Tamandua tetradactyla: one gene and its partner. The protein of the gene in region 2 interacts with the protein of the main gene of each other region in a pairwise test. Links are inferred from orthologs where the notes say so. Each region holds a gene or a part of one and is shown on either strand. Other genes may lie near its edges.

What was found. The genes of interacting proteins can lie anywhere in the genome.
Region 1: the proteins of DACH1 (region 2) and FGF12 interact in binary tests that used the Homo sapiens proteins (3 or more experiments, as listed by UniProt). The two-hybrid records come from large-scale screens. The link is inferred for Tamandua tetradactyla from reciprocal best matches to the Homo sapiens genes DACH1 and FGF12.

Annotation. Positions count from the first base shown.
Region 1 is NC_135336.1:12,089,011-12,098,979, forward strand, and holds the start of FGF12 (fibroblast growth factor 12), read right to left. Parts: upstream 4,096-9,969; 5' UTR 4,081-4,095; coding exon 3,882-4,080; intron 1-3,881. UniProt on the Homo sapiens protein: Involved in nervous system development and function. Involved in the positive regulation of voltage-gated sodium channel activity. Promotes neuronal excitability by elevating the voltage dependence of neuronal sodium channel SCN8A fast inactivation.
Region 2 is NC_135330.1:138,970,448-138,980,786, forward strand, and holds the start of DACH1 (dachshund homolog 1), read right to left. Parts: upstream 4,252-10,339; 5' UTR 4,023-4,251; coding exon 3,184-4,022; intron 1-3,183. UniProt on the Homo sapiens protein: Transcription factor that is involved in regulation of organogenesis. Seems to be a regulator of SIX1, SIX6 and probably SIX5.

The DNA of each region.
Region 1 (9,969 bases), on a different chromosome or scaffold from region 2:
AATTCTGAGTCAAAACATAAATTTGGAGTCAATTATTTGCACAGTGTCTCCACTCAAAAATAAAGCAAACATTGGAAATGAAGAAGCCATCCAATTCATAAGGATGTGCAAATAACCTTGATACAGCAAATGCAGTGGCATCAACATTTAAGCAAATATCTTAGCAGGGCTTGCCCCCACAAGTATTTCACACAAAAAATAGCAGCTGAAATCATGACCAGAGAAATGCTCGTTTCTTTACTAGAAAATAAACAAACAGGATTGTTCTAAAGCCTTTTCATGGTTCAATGACCAAAGCCATCTTGCCAGTTCTGGGTCCCCAGCATTTCATTTAAACAGGCAGTGCCTGTTATCTGCTATGTCTTGACTATTGGATTCACTTCCAAAATGAATGCCAGCTATAGGGTGGTAGCTTTAGAACTCCAATTGCTGGATTTAGCCTATGCCTCCTCCTAAGAGTCACCTCCAGCATTCCGCACTATTCTTGCTCTAATTACAAAATGATCATAATAAGCTCATTCCCTAATGAGAAAAGACAAATGCAAAATTACTTCTGTCATTTGACAGAGGATGCCCAGTTCTTCATACTACTTTTCTGTGTTGTTTTGGGAAGAGCACAGACAAAGAGAATCAACTGAATCCAATTTTAGACCCACTTTTGCCACAATCAAGCCATATGGCCTTGTGTAAACCACGAACTTGCTGCAGTTCTAGGGTTTCTCATCTACAAAGGTAAGGATTTTGCTACCAATCCCAGTCTGCACTATCACTTTAAGCCCCAGGGATGGCATTCATGAAACCAGGCCTGCATGCATGGGGCCCTGGAGCCAACGTGCAAGGTGAGATGCTGACCTGCCATTACTCACATTTTAATTCCATGAACTGTGATTTTAAAACCTGAGCCCTATATCATAATTTCAATATTCCTGCTGTGTTAATAAAATTCCAACATTACACATATTAGAACTTGGTGAACTAAGAAAAGAGATTGAGAGACACTCACTGTGTCAGCACTGAAATAAAAAATACAACCACACAAATCCCATCTTACCCTTAGTTTAGCCTCACTGCTTCAGCCTCACTTCCTTATAAAGTCTAGTCAGAGAAAAGTATGTTTTAAGGATAGAAATTCAGAAGGCAAATTCTTTATCAGGATGAACTGTGACTCAGTTTGTAATTCACAAGGATGTGGTTTAGAAGGGCTAGTGATTTCAAAAATAACTCGAATATTAAATGACCATAGAAGTGCTTAAAAAACAGATTCCCTCAAATGGGTTTTCTTCAACTTTTTTTTTTTTTTCGGTATTTAGCAACATTACCCCAATCCAGCTAAAGATTCCTCTTTGGAATTAAGAAGTGGAAGGTGCTATCCTTCTATAAATAGGTTCATCCCTTGCTATGTGAATCATGGTTGCTGACAGCAAATCAACAGATTAATTATTTGGCTTTGTTAGTAGCAATAATGACACACTATCATCTTCCCAAAAAGCTTTTCTGCACCCCACACTCCTATTTTTCTAAGCTAAGCCTCAGAACAGCCTGAAGTCCGTGGTGTATAGGTACATACATGATGCCCTTGCAGTGGGCATGTCATAACAGTTCCTGCCATCTCTCTGCTGGATTGGCATGTGATATTTCAGCTAAGGGGAATCACCAGTCAAGATTCTCTCTGCCAAGACGCACATTAAATAGATGAAAAAGAGGAGCAGATTACATGAACATGGAAGAAAACTCAGCAATGCCTTCAAATTTTCTAATTTCCAATAAGTTGCTAAGGAAAGGGCCGCAGGAAGCAATTAATATAGTCCTTCCCAATCATGCAAAATTAAGCCATGAGAATTGCTCATTTCCAAATCAACTTTAAAAGACCAGATGAGTTTATCCATTCAAGAATATAATCCACCTATCATTTTTAGTACCTTATTTTCAGGTGAGGAGGCTAAGCGCACAATATAACTGCTCACATAGAAGTATCCCAACTAGAGTGCAAGAACACATGTCACAAACTGGGAAGCAAGAGTCATATCGAATTCAGAGCCTTGAAATTCTTTATACACTACATAAGCCCTGAGATCCCTGTGAAACAAATATAGGATTTTATTTTCCCTAATATTAATTATTTATTTTGTAGAGATAACTCTAGTTCTTTGCATAAATTGCTACTTTATGAAATAAGCAGGCTATATTAATTGGATGTAAAACAAGAGAGAATTAAGTAGATCCTGTCTTGGGTCACTACCAGATCATAATTATTTTTGTTTATTCCTGAAATTAACTATTGTATCACCATCACAAATTAAGAATTTAAAAAATGAGCCCACAGGGGTGGTGCGACAGTGGCTCAGTGGCAGAGTTCTCGCCTGCCATGCCAGAAACCCAGGTTCGATTCCCAGTGCCTCCCCACGCAAAAAAAAAAGAAAAAGAAAAAGAAAGAGATTTGTCAAAAATGAGCCCACGATGGCGTAAATAATCTCAAGAAAGACCAATCACAAATGAGGTAAGAAGTCTTCTCCACAAAACCTAATCCCAAATTTCTAAACTAAATCTAAACCCCTCATCCAGATTTTCTAAATGATTCCCCAATGAATCTAGTTCATGGGCCTCACTCTTGGAACCCAAGAGAACACCATAATCAGACGTGCAAAGCAGCTAACTAAGCCAGTCAACTAATCACAGAGCAGGCTGCTTTTTCAGACAATATTTCCTTTCAGTTGTCCACAGGATGTGTAACATATCTGCAGATTGCAGATGACCCTGCAGCCACACCCAGAAGGAACAACAATATCTGGTGGAAAAACAGGCCTCTACAATTTTGTTTTCATTCTTGCAAGCAGGAGAACTGGCCTGCCTTGAACTAGGGATATTCATGCTGAAACTCAAGATATCCAGTCCCTCTTCATAAACAGTACTTTATCATAGACCAACCATTTGGGTTTAGGGCCACAGAGGGAATCAGCTTCAAAAAGGCTAGACCATCAGAGTAGCTAATAATTCTGAAGTTTTCTTTACACAGTCAAACTGCAAATACTTTGCTGCTCCCTTACTGTCCCAAAAGTAAGTGAGTGTGCAGAGGATTAATGAGAAAAGCGTTTGGAAACCATGAGAGTGGTTGGAAAAATAGAATAGGGAAAAGGAGGTCTGTGGAAAAGGAAGTGAAAAGGGTATGTGGAAAAATGGGGACGTGAGAAATTGACTGAGATGTCTGAAAGATGTAATGCCCTGTTGCCGAAGAAAGAGTCAGTGAAAGAGAATTAAACTTATGTTCATCTAGTGTCTGGTAAGTGCCTATTATGTGCGAAGAACTATACTATTATACAGGATAAAGGAAGGAAGTTTGATATTTAGATCTTCAGAGTACTAAGCATGATGGTGGATGGATGGATGGATGGATGGATGGATGGATGGATGGATGGATGGATGGATTGATGGGCAGAAGGATAGACGTTTGGATGGGAATGAAAGAAAGAGAAGGAAGGAAAGAAGGGAGGAAGGAAGGAAGGAAGGAAGGAAGGAAGGAAGGAAGGAAGGAAGGAAGGAAGGAAGGAAGGAAGGAAGGAAGGATGGGAGGAAGGATGGATGGGAGGAAGAAAGAAAGGTAGGTGATCACTGTCCTCACGGACTCTACAGGCTATTTTGGACAAGGGACATTAACTCTCATCCTAATCAAATTCCAAAATCAAGGTAGAAAATGTTTTCCTGAATATGGGAAGAAAAGCTATTAACTGGCAGAGGGTGGTTGAAAGAGATGTTTGGAAATCAGGGGTAAAGAGAAATCAGAATGGAAAAGGGAAATCTTTTTCCACGGGTGCCCCCAGGTGCTTTGCGGAAGGGGAGAGAGGGTGTCAGCCTCTGGGGAGCCGATAGTCCGGGCTTCTACTGACCTGGTCTCCGCCTCACCGGCCTCTTGCGGCCGCTGCAGAAGCGCACTTTGCTGAACACCCCGAGGACGTGCCTCTCGCACAGGGAGCGCCCGTCTTTGCTGGGGCTGGAGCGGCGCTTGGAGGCCGACACCCGGTCGCTGTTGGACTCCCTCGCCTGCCGCTTCTGCCGGATCAAGGAGCTGGCTATCGCCGCAGCCATGGCTGCTGAGCGTGCGCCCCAGACCCCCGGCTCCGCTGCGCCTTCGGGAACGCACTCAGTCGGGGCGAGGGCAGAACCTCGGCGGCCCGAAGGGACAGGGCAGGCGGCCGGGAGGCAGTGCTAATATTCGAACAGGCCGCAGTACCGAAAACCCGGCGCCCACAAGGTTAGTCAGAGTCTGGGCAGTGGCAACAAAATGTGTGAAAATCCAGATGTAAACTTCCCTGACCGCTGGCGGCAGGGACGGGGCGGTCCCAAGCCTTGCTGCGAACTAGAGGCTTGCACCCCAAGGCGATCCGCGTCCAAAGGGCAGTGAGGAGTTTGGTCACACTGCGTTCGGGGTACCAAGTGGAAGGGGAAGACGAAATGTCCAAAATAACAAGCTGTGCCCCTGTTCGGTGAGGCGCAAGCGTTGTATGGTGTCCAAAGTATTTCTACACAAACATACATATAAAACCCGTTTAGAAAGCAGTGTCTGGACCGAGGCTGGTAGCGTATCCCCGGTAGAAAATACTAAAAAGTGAACAAAACGTTCCTCTAGAAAACAAGCCACCAACCGCAAGAGAGAAGGGTAGGAAGGCAGCAAATTAACTCCCTGCGGGCCGCAGTTCTGGAGATTAGGCGGTCGGTCCCGGCTGGGTGAAGTCTACAGAATGCATCGGACCGGCTGCGGTTCTCCAGGGTCCGGCAACCCGAGTTCTGGAATTCCGAGAAGCGCGAAGTGGGAGCGGTTAGCCAGAGTCGGGAAGGGGCGCCGAGAGTGGACAGCTGTTTCCAGCTGCGCTCAGCGCGACTCCCCGCCAGCAGCGCTGCAAAGAGAGCTAGAGGCAAGGGAGGTGGGAGGGAAGAGGGAAAGGGGGAAGGAAGGAGGGACGGAAGAAGGGATGGAGGGAGGGAGATCCTCAAGGGCCAAGCACCCTCCGGGAGAAACCCGGCAGAGGCGAGCACTGGGGATCCGCCGGGTCCCGAGAGCGGCGCTCTTTCTCTCTTTCCGTTTGCTTTCCGGCACGAGACCGGCACAGTTGGTGAGTATTTAGGGAATCTTAAATCTGGAATGACTCAGTAGTTTAAATAAGCCCCCTCAAAAGGCAGCAATGCCGAAGGTGTCCTCTTCAGCAGGGCACCTACACGCGTCTTTAACTGGAGCTCCCCGCCATGGTCGGTCAGGGACCGCCGCACCGAGCCAGTCTCGGCACCGGCTCAGAGGGAGCGAGGGAGGGAAGGGGCACCCTGGCGGGCTCGGGATCAGGTCATCGCCGCGCTGCCAGGGCCCCCCTCCCAGACTCGCGTGCCCCGGCAGTCGGCAGCTCACAGGCAGCAGATCAGATGGGAATTACCCGCCCGACGCAAGGCCGATCATTCAGTCCCGCTCGGCCCATCCCGACGGAGGAAGGAATTGACCGGCGCGCAGCGAACACCCGCGCGTCTGCTCGGGTGGGGCCGGGGCTTGCTGCGGGCGACGTCGGTTCGCGGCGGCTGCGGCTCCGGGCCTGAGCTACCCACCATGGTCTGGCGCCGGGGGCGCAGGTGGGGCCCCTAGGCCGCTCCGGACGACTGCGAGAGGCGGCTGAAAGTGCGACCCGGGCCCTCGAAGCCCGACACAGACTTGGGGGCCGGAGCTAAGAGGCAGGTGGGGGCAGCCGCCAACTCGCCCAACTTGCTGCGCGGGCGGCCACTCAGAGCCAAGGGCTCAGGGGGCGCCTCCCACCGGAGCGCCGCCGCCTCCCCAGATCCGGGAGGGGGCGCTCAGTGCTGAGTCCCATTCATGGGCTGAGGTTCTGGGCGCGCAGAGCCTCACCGGCTCCCTGGCGCCGCCGCCCCGCGGGCTCGCAGGCTTGAGCGCTACCCGCAGGAAACTCCAGGCGGAGGCGACCGCCACGGAGACGGCAGGTGGGACGGTGAGCTGGCGTTCTCTGGAGTTCCTCTTGCGCCTCTTGCCGACTCGCGGGAAAGCGTGCGAGCACCCAGGTGGGGCTGGGCTGGGAGGCGGGCTCCCGGAGCTCAGCGAAGCGCAGGGGAGCGCAGCGCGCTCGGGTCCTCCTCCCTTGATTGCGCCCTCTACTCGCAGACTCCGTCTCCTTCCTCCCTCTCCTCACCCCTCTTCCCCCCTCCTCCCCTCCTCCCCTCCTCCCCTCCTCCCCTCCTCCCCTCCTCCCCTCCCCCCTCCTTCCCTCCTCCCCTTCTCCCCTCCTCCCCTCCTCCCCGTCTTCTGTCTCTCCCCTTTTCTTCTCTCTACGCAATCCTACGTGATTGAGGTCTGGATGAGAAATTCTCAGAGGCAGAGCGAGGTAACTGCAGCTTGGGTCCGCTCTATCCAGTCCCTCCCCCAAGAGAAAACACAACTACAGACTGGTTAATCGACACTGTGTGCATAAAAGAATGAGTTAGGGGTCGGGGTCCCGAGAGAACACGATCCACACTCTTTCCAGTAAGCTGGAGCACCGTAGAATTCTCTGGTTTGGAAAGAAGGCAGTGGACACTGGAGAAAGTAGCAGTGGTCTCTTAGGCCCTCATGTTGGACCCCACTTTCAGCTCATTTTGAAATAGGGGAAAATGTTGGAACCCAGATTTCTTGGTGCTTTCTGTAATGATCCAAAGCACACTAGGTCTCTACAAAGGACTGAGTGCCCTGCACAGAAGGGGGAATGAGGTTTGGTTGGGAAGGTGACTTGGGCAAGGGCAGTCGATAACCAGCTTTAGAGTGCAATTAGGTCTCTAGAAGTGCTTGTGTTAACAGCTGGATCTTGTGGAAAGCTCAGCAGAGGAGACAATTTACAATCAAAGTTAAAAAGCAGCATGAAGGATTTCCTTAATGCAAAAGGTATAACCACTTTCATTCATGCCAAGGTATGGGAGTGACTAATAGTTATATTTACAATTGATTGCAATCAGTTGTCTTCAAACATCCCTAACCCCTCCTTATTCACAGTCATATCTCTGAGCATCTTGGCTAATGCCCAAAAAATGGGTGATAAAGGATTAAACAGGTGATTTAAAGCAGAGACAGGTGTGGGCTGGATACACCCTACTAGAGCGCAAAAAAAGAAAAAGAAAATGCAGGTCCAGGAAGCTACTGAAAATGAATGTGGGATCCATTCTCGGTAGCTCAGTAGCCACAAAACTGTGGACTTAGCCTAGATTCACTTGGGCAATGAGAAGGATTGAAGTATATGAGGTTATATGGTTTAAACACTGTGTCTGGGGGCCTGGAGCTTCCAGGCTGCCAGCTGGAAAAAGCAGTCTCAGAGGGTGGCAGACAGGGGCTCATGGAGAAGACAGCTGGGAGGAGAATGAAACAGGCAAGGGGCCCCAGGGGAGAGGGGAATCCCAATTGTCAATGGGGACACACACATCCCCTGCAGCAGTTCAGTGTAGCTGAATGAGGATAAGAGATTCATTCTCCGGATTGTAACAAAACATAAAAAGACAAGTGAAAAAGCTATATAGATAAAAATAGATTGGTACATTTCTTTTTTTCTCCAAAAGTGAAGCAGAACACGTTTTCTAAAGCACATCTAGATAAGGGAAGGGGGGTTAGTGACCAATATAGGTATATGAAATAGGGAAACGTCCACATTTCACAAATAAAATTATTTTCCTTCACCCCAAAGACTTGTCTCATTGTTGAGCAAGGCAGGCAAGAAAGCACTGGCTGGATTTGAGGACTTCCTTTTTCAAGGAAAAGGAAGAAACAGAAAGGTCAGCTAAGGGTCGGTATGCAGAGAAATAGCCAAGAGCAATATAAGGAGGCCTTGAGGAAATCATTGCTAAACTCTGAGTCTGTTTTCTCATCCTCAGAATAGTGATAATCATTCCCATCTACCTCACAGAACTGAATATGTATGTGTAAGCACTTTGAAAACTGGAAAATGCCAATTGAGTAGAACGGATGATGACAGCGTTTATTTTTTTCAAAGAATATGCATCAGATTCACCTCAGGTGCTTGTTAAAAATACAGATTCCTCGTGGTTCCTCAAAACTTTCTGGGTAGAGCCCAGGAATTTGAATTATTAGCAAGTTCTCCAGGTTTCACATAGATAATACTAGAAAGGAGAAGTAAACCCAGAATCTCAAAATCTGGCACAATTCCCCAATATTGCAGTCCTATGCCCCGCCCCCCCCGGCCACAAAAATTAAAAAAAGGCCTGAAAAGAGAATGTGTGTTCTCTAATGTTTGAGCATTGCTGACTTTTATCCCTGGGTTTATGGGAAATGAAGATGTTTTGATGTAGAAGATAACCATTGTAGAAACAGGATGGAAATGGGTGACGGTGACAGAGATTAAAAAGCAGATATTAGGTGCTACTTGATATTCTCCTCTCTGTCTTGACATGACAGAATCAAGTTAGGCACTTAAAAACAAAAGCAATAAATACCAGCTTTCTCAGAGAGATATTATTTCTGTCTTCAGATCTCTATGAAAAAAAATGTGGAGTTTTTTATTTGATCAGAAAATAAAGACTTAACCTTTTTCCTTGCACTACTGAAGCTATTCTTAGTTTTTTTTTTTTTAACTGTTTAGCCCCTTGAGTCATCACCCCCTTCATTTACTCCATTTTTCCAGAGAAAAGAAGAGACAGATTGAGAGACATTTGAGAAATTATTTAGGACCTAAGTACATGACTGTTCAGCTTGGAAATAATACTTAAATTCATCCTTTGCTATCCAGAAATTCATAGTTTTCCTACTTGGGCCACTAAATCTCATAAATTTCCTCCTCAACTACTAGAACAACTCTGATATCTTAGAATTTGGGGATCAGAAATGAAATTTAATCAACTTTCTGGTGATTTAAGTAAAACAACTAGACACTTTAAAGAATATCTCAGGAATAATAATACCTTAATTTTTCATCCATTTTTCTTGAACAACTTGAGAATTTCCCTTTACAATTTTGAAGACATCATGAGTAGAAGTAGTCTGAATTACTTTGGAGAAAGATGCCAGATATACATTAAAGAGATAATTATATTGTTATATTTATCATTCTGACCTCCAGTAAAACAGGTTAAACATGGGCAGTTTTAATCATCTCCATTTTTAGGAAGAAAACCACACAGTTAATAGTCTTTCCTTAATTTTTAGGTCAAGTCTTTCAATTCCCAAATTAAAATGTTAGGATTATTGCATTCATTCACTTTATATTGAGCACAGATTGCATCCAGGGCTATGTGTTAATTACCAGGGGAACTCTATACATCTTTACATTCTCCCTACATTCCACAAGCTTTCAGTTAATGCTATCGTGGTCTTACTTGGCTCTTGCCTAATAATGCACTATCTACATGCTCCTTGGCAAGTCAGTCAACCAGTTTATCCGCAAAATAAATTAGTAGTAATGACACTAGCAGTACCTTCCTCTCTAGGCTGCTTGCAAGGCCCAAAGAGGGTGTGATCACATAAAGTACAAGCATAAACATGCTGTCATTAAACATCCATTTAATTCAGCTCCCTGCTATAAAATCCAGGATTCCCAAAACAGGAAAATATACCTTGTGATTCATACTCATAATCATTTACTCCTGGATACGATGGATTTAATGAAGGCTGGAAACCTACTTGAAGTGAATGATTACTCTTGACTTGGTAATGGCAAACAGAATTTTCATTAGTGGAATATTGTCAATAGCCTTGTCTGTTGGAACACAAAGGAGTCCAGCTCTACTCATATATCATCCTGTCCTGAAAACAGGCCCCTGACTCAACGCTTGGTGAATATATGCACCCATCAGGTTCTGCCACAGCAAGGAAGCCTCGTGTACAGAAGAAGATCTTATCTTCATGACTTTTACCCCATACAGTAGCTGCACTTGCCTTTGCTTTTTTCTGCCAAATTCTTAGTTAAGAAAAATGCTAGTGAAAGTAAAATGAATAATGACTTTCTAATA
Region 2 (10,339 bases):
GGTTTCAACATTTATCCTAATTTTCATAGATAGCATACTGATGTAATAGTCCCAAGCAAATTACATCCATTCTAAGGTTTGCTCCTAACTTATTTAACCACTTCGAACAAGTTCATGGATGTATCTTTAAGCATTATTTTGGTTTCTCAGATTCCCTGGCATCTAGACAAATGTCCGATAAATGCTATTATGAGACATAATTAGATAGATGTCCTGTGAAAAGCTATGAGTGTTAAGATGTGATGTTTCTTACATACACACAATAAATATATATGTAGTGCTATGTGGTTTGCCTTTTGCAGTTTCTCTTATCCTCTGCAAAAATTATTCCCTTAGATAGTCTCTTAAACAGTAAGTGGAGAGAGAAACCACAGTGAAAGAAATCAATGTATCTAGGTGAAGGAAAAAGGTTCTTAATAGCCAAGATATAAATTAGCTTTTAATGGAAAAAGTAATTTTACTTTTGTAAACTCAAGATGCAAAACATTTTAGATTGTTGCTTTCAAAGTTAAGAAATAAGACAATGACGTTTGTAATTAACATAAAATAATGCATTATGATGCAAGCAGCACATTTTGGTGAGAGGCAGTTCCATTACAAGTTTTCTATTCTTAGATCAGTAGCAGAGTTAGGAAAAGATAGGTATCTGCAACTATGCATCTTCTAAGGTTAACGACTACAATATTTGTGTGTATTTAAGTATGAGCAAGTCTTATAGTAAAGAAAAGATCAAAAGGCAATAGTAAATCAACAAATTTACCACATTTTAACTGAGAAATAACTTTAAATAAGGTTTTAGAACTCATATAATTGCCAGGTATTAAGACAAGCTAATTGAAACAGAGTAGTGATGATATATTGTTGAGGAGTAGACACTGCTAGTGGATTTTACTTCTCTAGTTCTGTAAGTTTAAACTCCAGAGCTATTGTTAACCTGGGGGAGGGCAGGTCTTTCTTTTTTTCAAATATTAGTTTATAACTTATAGAATATTCTACAACCTTATGGGAAGGACTTCAATTCCAGTCTAAGCACGAAATTGCAAGGGGAAAGATCAAGGGATTACACCGCGAGAGGTGTAATACTACCTGTTTTACATTGGTCATAACGTCGCAGTCATTGAAGGAAGTTTTCTCGAACAAGTTTTTGGGGTATGTGCAATGCCAATTGATTATCGAGTACAGTTACGTGCTGTAAGAAACACACAAAGAGGATTCAAGTGCAGTTTTTGATTACTAAAGAGCACTTCACCAATTTACTGGATAGGTAGAAGATTTTATAACAACCATATCTGAACTGGCCTTAGATTTTAACTAGCGTTCTTTCTAACTATCCTGTAATCGTTTTCCTTCCTGATTCGAGTAGTTTTAATAGTTTTTTTTTTTTTTTTGCAAATATCTTCTGGTTGTCCAAGGACTCCAATTATCTGAGTAAATGATTACTAACAAAGATTGCCTCTCGATCTTTACTGCCACCGCAAACCCACGCGCGCGCGCGCACATACACATACACTCAGCATCCACCCCCAAAATAGTAAAAATGCGAGTTCAAAGCCCAAACACACACCCATACCCTATTTGCAAAGAATAGCAAATAAATCGGGAAACAAAGTTTCTGGATTGTTCCGATGGGACATTTGGTGGGTCGGAGTTGGAGTCTTTCATCTTTACAGCTTTCCTGGGCACTAGGTGGGAATCTCCCTTCAAGGTAAAAAATAGCCCGGGGCTTTTTCACCTGGTTTCCTTCTGGTGTCGTTTTAATCCTCTTTCCTTTCCACCTCTGTTACCCTAGCTTTACTAGGAACACGGACCCTGAAAGAGTAAAACAGTTCACTCTCTGGGTCTTTAATCTGATTTGAAGAGCAAGGGAGTGTCCCCGCAAATTTTGCGCCCAGGTCCCACCCGTTTGCTCCAAGGCTCCAACTTTCCTCCTCACTTTCTCCTGTGAGATCTTAATTTTTTTTTCCTCTGAGATTCCCAGGAGCGAACGATGGGGACAGGAGGAAGTGTAAAAGGGTGGAAAGATCATTTCTACCCCGAAACTGACAAGTTGCCCCACTTCCGCCCCCTCTCGGTAGATCCTCCCCCACAGCGCGTTCATTAGCATAAACTGGTCTCGCCGGAGAATCAATCCTGCGGTCTCTGCCCCGCGCGCGCTCCGCGGGTCGGGAAGCGACCACACGGAGGACTCAGACCCCTGAGAGCCTCCCAGTGCAAAGCTTGCACCTGCTCGATTGCTAGAGCTACTGGCAACCTTTTAAAAAGAAAGAAAGAAAGAATAATAAAATTGGAGAGAGACCGCTGTCCTCTTTCTTCCCCACGTCTTCAGCGCGGCTTGCAAGAGTCTTGAGTACCCCATGGTCATCTCCCCTTAAAGGACACCTGCTGGTGCCCTCGCTTCTGCCCCGGGGCAAACGACACCCTTTATTTCCTTTGCACACGCACAGGCACACCTCACACGCGTACACACGCACAGCACACATGCGCGCACACACAGACCCCTCCCCTCGGCGGGCTTCCCCTCCGGGTTTTGGGGTTGAAGTGGCTGCGGGTGCCCAGGGACTGCCTCGCGCCTCACGGCTTCCGAAGTCGCTCCCCTCACGACCTCGAAGTGCCCTCCCCGGCTCTTGGTCCAATCGCTCGGCTTGTCCGCCAGCCCCTCACTCGGAGCGTGACGCCCTGCCCTTCGAACCCAGCCCAGCCTAGTGACGACCTCCCAGCCCTCCGTACGCCGTTCGGCGCCTCCGACGAAGCCTGCCTGGGCCCGAGGCTCGCCGCGGAAGCCGGGTCGCGGGGAGCTCACACGCGGCGGCAGCGCGGAGAGGGGTCTCCAGACGCCAGCGCGTCCGGAAAGAAGCTGTGGCTCCCGGAAAGGCGCCCTCTCCCCCTTCCCGCCCCCTCCGGCCCAAGGGTCGGGGGTGCGCGCGTCCCACAGCCGCCAAGCCCTGGCCAGCGAAGGGTGGCTCGGGCCCGAAGAGCGAGATCTGGGCAGGGTGAGGTGCCAACTTCTCAGGCGCTCGGGCGCGGCTGGCGAGCCCGGAGGAAGGGGAGGAGAGGGCTGCGCTCACCAGGGCGCGCGGCTCGCGGGCGCGCGGAGCGAGCGGCGCCGATTAGGGAGCCAGGGAAGGGCGAGCAGGCGGGCGGGAAGGGGCCGCGAGCGGCGGAGGCTACCCCCCGGTTCTTTACCTGGCGTTGGTGCAGTCATTGTAGAGGGTCTCGAAGTCCTTCCTGGAGATGAGTTTGCAGCGGTTCACTCCGGGCTGAATGGCGCCCAGTCCCCTCAGGATGCGAACCTGTTCCACATTACACACCACCGGCGTGATCTCCAGCCTCTTCAGCTTGGTGTAGACCGTGTGCAAGCCCCCCACCAAGTGCTTCAGGAACAGGTCGAAAGCCTGGGGCAGGCAGATCAGCTCGCAGCCCTCCACCGTGAAAGAAGCTACTTTGGCCCCCCTCAGATCCACCATTTTGCACTCATTATTCTGGGGGGTGTTTTCCACTGGGGACGGGGTCGAGTACACGGGTTTTCCGGGGAGGGGGCCGCAGCTGCTGCTGCTGCTGCTACTGCTGCTGCTGCTGCTGCTGCTGCTGCTGCTACTGCTGCTACTGCTGCTGCTGCTGTTGCTGCCGGTGTTGGCGTTGATGGGGGTGCTGGAGGCGCCGCCGCCGCCAGCACTAATGCTGCCACCGCCACTGCAGCCGCTGCCGCTCGCCGCCGCCAAGCTGGGGTTGCAGTTGCCGCCGCCGCCGCCGCCGCCGCCTCCGTTGCCGCCGCTGCCGCCGCCGCCTCCGCTGCCGCCGCCGCCGCCGCCGGTGGAGGTGACTGTGGCCGCCGCCGCCGACGCGATGGGCTCCGGCCGGAACAGAGTTGGCCCTGAGGACGCCGGGGGCCCGATGGACGGAGCCGGAGACGAGGTCGCCGACGAGGTGGAGGTGGTGGTGCCGGAGGAGGAAGCAGACGTGGAGATCGGGGGTTGAGGGGGGACCAGCTGGGTCGGAGGGATCAAAGCCGCCGGCACTGCCATGGTCACATATAAGGGGAAACAGGAGGAGAAGCGAGGGGAAAAGTTGCCACAAACCCCGGGGAGGGGAAGGAAAAACAGGGGGAGGGGGTGGGGAGCAGGAGCGAGGGGGCAACAACAACTCTAGGAGAGAACCAGAGGAGAAGGGAGAACGAAGGCTAGAGAAGAGGTGAGAAAGAGCGAGCGCAGGAGGGGCGAGCGCGAGAGGCGCTCTGGAGAGAAACGCACAAAAGTGTCCCGCAAGTCGAAATGCGAGTCCTCTCCGGGGGCTGGGATCGGGGGCTGGTTTGGGGGGGCGGGCGGGGGCGGGGAGGGTCGGCTGTTGTTGTGTGGGTCCCGCTCTAGCACAAAGTTAAGGATGAAGGTGAAAAGGAGGAGGTTTGAAGGACTTGCGTTCTCCCTGGCAAGTACATTGATCAAAGATTGAGAGGTGAATGACAGAGAGAAAATGAGCTGAAAAGTGCAGGCTGCCGGCTGGACGAGTTGTTGTTGTCACACGGTGCAGAGGGGAGGAGCTCCGGAAACTTGAAATACCCTTTGAAGCCGCAAAAACCTCACTCACTAGTATTAACCCAAATTATCCAACCAGGACTCGGAGAAGACTCCGAGAGCGCGAGACAGAGAGAGAGAGAGAGAGAGAGAGAGAGAGTGTGTGTGTGTGTGTGTGTGTGTGTGTGCGTGCGTGCGAGAAAAGGAGGAGGGGGGAGGGGGCAGAAGGGGGAAAAGGAAAGAAACTGTGGGAGGGACGAAGAGAACAAGCCAGGGACTCAGAAGTGGCGCTCGGAAAACAGAGGGAGATCATCTGTCTGCCTCTTCCTTCTCTTCTACTACCGTTAGATTGCATGTCTGTGTTCCGTTTCGTCCGCGACGGCTCGTAGTTTTCTTCTAAAGCTTCTAAGCAATCGCCTCCCAACTTAAAGAGGAGCCAGAAGGCTCCGAGCTCTTCTTAAAGGATTTAGGACATATCTCCTCGCGTTCTTGCACCGTGATATAAATGGAAACACATCCCCTCACTGCATAATCATTAAGAAATTAATTTGAGGAAAAGTAAGCAAAACGTATGTTTTATGCATCTGCTTGTTTATCTGTTACATTATTTTGTATAAAGATAGTGGAAATTCCAGATTGGACAGTTTTAAAGTTGCGGGGGGAAAAAGTCCGAAATTGCTTAAGAATAATGAAACACGCTGTGTTTAATTCTTTATTTCTTTATAGATTGTGGAAAGAAAGAAATGCTTTCCACGATGTGGATCGTTCAGAATAACTTCACTTTGGCTCAAAAGCAGATCAGGAGTGTCTGTTAGGCCATGACAATCCAAACAGATGAGACATCCTTGAAGATTTAAAAAGTAGAAAACAAGAACACGCCGGTTTTTCTTACCCAAAATTCTAAGCTTAATTTACCTGTATTGCACAGTAACCAATAACCCTTATCCTTTAAGACCCAAGGGTAGTTGCCAGTGTGCTGTTTGAATGATACAAGTTTTTTTTTCTCCCCATAATTGAAAAGTATCAATATATTTTGGGAATCCCTTCTTACTATATCGTGAAAATGTGTTTTGTAACTAATGAAAGCAAAAACAATGCTAACTAACTGATTTGTAAAGGCAGAAAGGGAAGCTATATTTAACAAACAGTATTTGGCTGAGTTCAGACTGACTTCTTCCTTTCTTTCCTCTCTCCCTTTCTTTTCTAACCTGTTGCATGTGTTATTTTATTCAAGGATTTCTTACGAAAATATGATTTGAGCATAGGTCAAATCTGTTCCCTGCTTGTATCTCTAGAAATCTTAAATAATTAGGCTTTGAATCTGTCTACACATGTTCAGTAACACAAGATATTAAACAATGCTTTAGCATTTGACAGATATTTAATATACACTATTAGCAGCAGATTCACAGTGCTGGGAGATTTCATAATGAAATTTCTGCCATTTGGTGTTGAAATTATGATCATGTAACTCTATCATTTTAACTCCTTAAACCTTTTGAAGTTTAGTGTCAAAAACTACAGGAAATATCTACAGAAAGATATGACATGACTAATTTGTCTACGTTTTATGCTAAACTTTTTGGGGCATAGCAGTTATATCAGGAGGCTTTTCTGGGATCTAAGATTTCAGAAAATTGGTTGTTGCAGGAAAGTAGAATAGCATCTAGAAGTGTAACTAAAGTTCACACAATTGTTTGGACGAGGTTAGCCAATGTATTTTAATATATTCAGAAATAATATATATTAATTTTTCAGTCCACTTCTCTGTCCTCAATTAAAAAGTATGATTCAATTTATAACATATACCATCGAAACACTTCCTTAAGCATTTATACACATTTTAGAAAATACTATCTTTTTAAAAAATAATCTCAAATTGCCATGTATTGAGCCTTGAAAAATTAATCTTATGTTGGAATCACAAGCACAACTTTATTAAAACTCTGACATAATTCTAAAACGTTAAACTACAGCTTGTTTAAATTCTAGACCCACATTTGGGGAAAAAATGGAAACTAAATGCTGAAAATCTGCCTTACCATTCTTATTTATCATATTTCCTTAAATTATCATTTACCCAATACCTGCCACATTTGTAAACCACAGACAGGAAGTAATGATAACAGACCAGACCATAATCCCACCCTGCTTCGAAGCAAACTCCAAATTTTACACTGCAGGGAAACCTGTGCCTCCCAGCACGTGCTTAGTCAGAAGCTATGGGAGTTTAAAAGACCTTAGGTCTATAAACCATTTCAAGGAACCACCACTTACCCCTTTGATCAAGCAATAGCATTAGAAAAAAAAGCATAATATAAATGAAAGGATTTAAGAAAGAAAAGCCTTGAGAATCTTCAGGGTTTCTTTTTCTTTTTCCTTTGAGAAATGTTACCAATGATTAAGACAAAAAGTATTTAACAACAGCAGATAAATCAACTCAAGAAAGATTTCAAATCTTCACTCTTTTCCATTGCATCTATAGCTTTCAGGGGTTTTGTCTTGTTTGTTTATTATTTTACATCTAGTTGCTTCAGGTCCTCTCCCTCCATCTCACCTTCCCCAGCATTCACTCAATTTGCATAAGCAAAACTCAAAGTACTGTAACGGATATTAGAAAATTCTCCTTGTGTTTTGTGAAGATGCATTGTGCTGAAATCAATAAGACTGTTTAAAATTCAAAGACCTGCAAATCGTTCTGTTTGTCCTTTGATAGGGCCTGTGCTGATTAAAATGCTACCAAGAAAGCTTAATTGCTGCACTAATTAAGAAGTCTTTAATTTCTTTCCTAGGATATCGTTTGAAGCTGAGCTTGTACCAGTTAAGGGAAGGTATTTTCTTCCCTCCCTCCTAGCCCCTCCCCTCCCTTCCCCCAGACGATAACCGAATGATGGAAACTAAGAGAGAGTGGTCTCAGGTCTCACCATCTATTACTTAAAAATCGGCACAGGATAGAGTTCAGTACATTCTGAAATGCAGGTTTGAGAAGAGCTGCAAGGTTGCAGGAGACAGTAAGAAAATACAAAGTAGCTGTTGCAGCTAAAGTCATGGTGAATACCTGGATGACAACAAGCACTTTAGTCCGATGATAAGGGCATCCTAAATGGTTAAAAGGGGAAATGACAAGGAAATGCTTCTGTTGAAATTAGGACAACATAAAAGCATACTTACAAAGCCTAAGGTTAAAAGAAAGAAGAATAGATCCTTAGAAAGATGGGCTTATAGTTGGAATTTGGTAAGTATCATTTTATTTTATTGAGTGTAAAAACATGAATTCTGTGGTGACTTATTGTTGACCCTTTTTATAACCCAAGCAAGTATAGCACTGTATTACATCCATTCTATCCTTATCTATTGACCTATTTTATTCACTGATTTCTCAGGTGGGGAAACTGACTAAATGATTTTGCAAAGCTTGCTCTGTAATCAATAGTCAGTTTTAAGGTTTATTCATGCTGCATTATAATTCTGGTAAATGCCTGCAAAGCAGAAGATTGTAAGAAAGATACAAATATTGACAAAGCCAGGATAAGTCATTTCTTTAAATCTTCAGGGTCTCAATATAGTAATTAATAGTGTTACTTAAAAAGGAAAAAAAAAAAAGATTGAAAACGCAGCTTTCCTAGCATGTAAAAAACTAAAATGATCGAGTAACCTAAAGGCAATATATCCAAACATGTTTCTTGAATATCTCAAATTTTCCCAAAAGCTTTAAGTATCCTTTTCTTACAGCATCATTAACTGAAACAGAAACAGTTTAGACACATGCAGAAAGGGCAACAAGAAAAGATTCATTAGTATTTTATTATTTTAATTCCCCCCCCCAAGTTGTGTTAGAAACATGCACAGAAAAATACAGATGTACATTCCGGATATATACTGAATTATTTTCAGTGACAGGACAAGGAGATAACATGTTTAATAGATTCAATGGGAGATTTACCATTCTGAGCACGACGTCACTCTAATTATGTTTACTCTAATTGAAAGCAAGGTTTTTTGGAATCTGAAATTACTTTCACATTTTTTTTTTTTAAATAATGCAACTGGATCAAATGTTGATCACAAGCATTTCAATCTTTCGAAATGTATTGGAAAATTAAATGAAAAGTGGAGTTTGGTACAAACAATGCCCCAGGGCAAAAAACAACTAACACTAGATTTTCCAGTCCAGCCATAACACAAATCAATTTGAGCACACTTCTATGGCCAGACTGCCAGATTGTTATGACTGCTAATTCACTCAATCAAAGAGTGCATTAGCACACCCGGCACAAATAGCTTTAACAATAGAGTGCACTTCTGAACAATTCTAAGATATATATATCACAATGGAGAAATAAAGAGGAAGATCATTTTTACATCTGCCTATTTACTAGTAGATCTGTTTCCTTAATAGAAAAAAAAAAAAAGACAGAGATAAACTCCAGGCATAGGTTTATTAAAGAGCTATCAAAGTTTGGCAAATCTAGAAAGATATCAAGGTACCAGTAGTTCACTGACTTTGTTAAACGTTTCTCAGGAGAGAGTCCAAAATTGATGTTTGCACTTCAGTAGTAAATCATTGAAGATGGAGAAATTATGCCAAGTAACTCTCTCAAGCCTTTTTAACTCAGATGCACGGCCTCACCAATCAACTTAGCAGATAAACCTCAACTACCTTAAGCAAAGACTTCCTTACCCCTCCTTGCTTAGTGTTCCAACTTCTGGCTTTTGATGGCTCATCCATTGTCTCCCCTCTCTTTTCCAAACCCCTGCCTTCCTCAACAACTAAGACTTTTATCTCATTGATGCATTCTCTAATCAAGCACAGGGAGCTTTATGATGAATTACCCAAAGGACAGAAGGTGGGAAGCTGAAGGTGAAAACACCATTACTTGAAGCATTCAAATTATATATTATAAACTTTCATTCTTAATAAAGAAGTGGTTAAAATGGTTATAAATAACTCTGATTTGTTCTATAACGTGGGACTGCATGGACTATATACATGCTTACTGAAGGCGGATAATAATTGTATATTCACATTCATGCTTACATAGATCCCAGAAACAAATGGTGCAGTTTAGCACCATGGTTCCTCCCTCCCTGACCTATTCCCACCCTCTTTTCTCCCGGTTCAGAATAAAGGTGACATATGGCAAAGAATTCTTTGCTGGTTATGGAACGTATTTTTAAAAATCTCTATACTCACATTGAAGGAGGGAGAGTAGTGGCAAGAAGAATTACCCCCCCCAAAAGTCATCATGTATTTCTTTTTAACTCCAAACAGCATCATTTCCATGATAAGTCATCAACAACCCTTGATAGTTTATTAGACTTTCCTACCACTACTTCTAGTGTAAGTATCCTTAATTTCACCTGTGAGTTGGTATTAAGGGGTATACAGCTAAATATTCAAAGAAAAAACAAAGTAAGTAAGATAATTTTAGAGTTAGATTGAAAAAGAAAGCAGCACCAAGAATAATATAAATTGAGACTAATTCCCGTCATCTCTTTAATCAGGTTATTGTGAGAAGGAGGGCAGACTGGATTGACGTAAGCTTACAAAGTCAGGCAAATATTTAAATCCCTAGTTTTCAGTAAATATTGTAACATTTAATTGTACCTTTTCATATGTGGCATTTTGTAATTGTCATATTCCTTTCTCTTAAAATTAAATAACTAAAACTACTTTTCTTCTATAAAGTAATCAATTTTAAGACAAATGAATTCTTAAACATAGTTAGAAGTGGGGGTGAGAAGAGGACTTACAGTCTGTTGAAATGTAAATGAATGCTTAATATTAAAACATTAATTATTGTACAATTTTGTAATGTTAGGAGAAATGT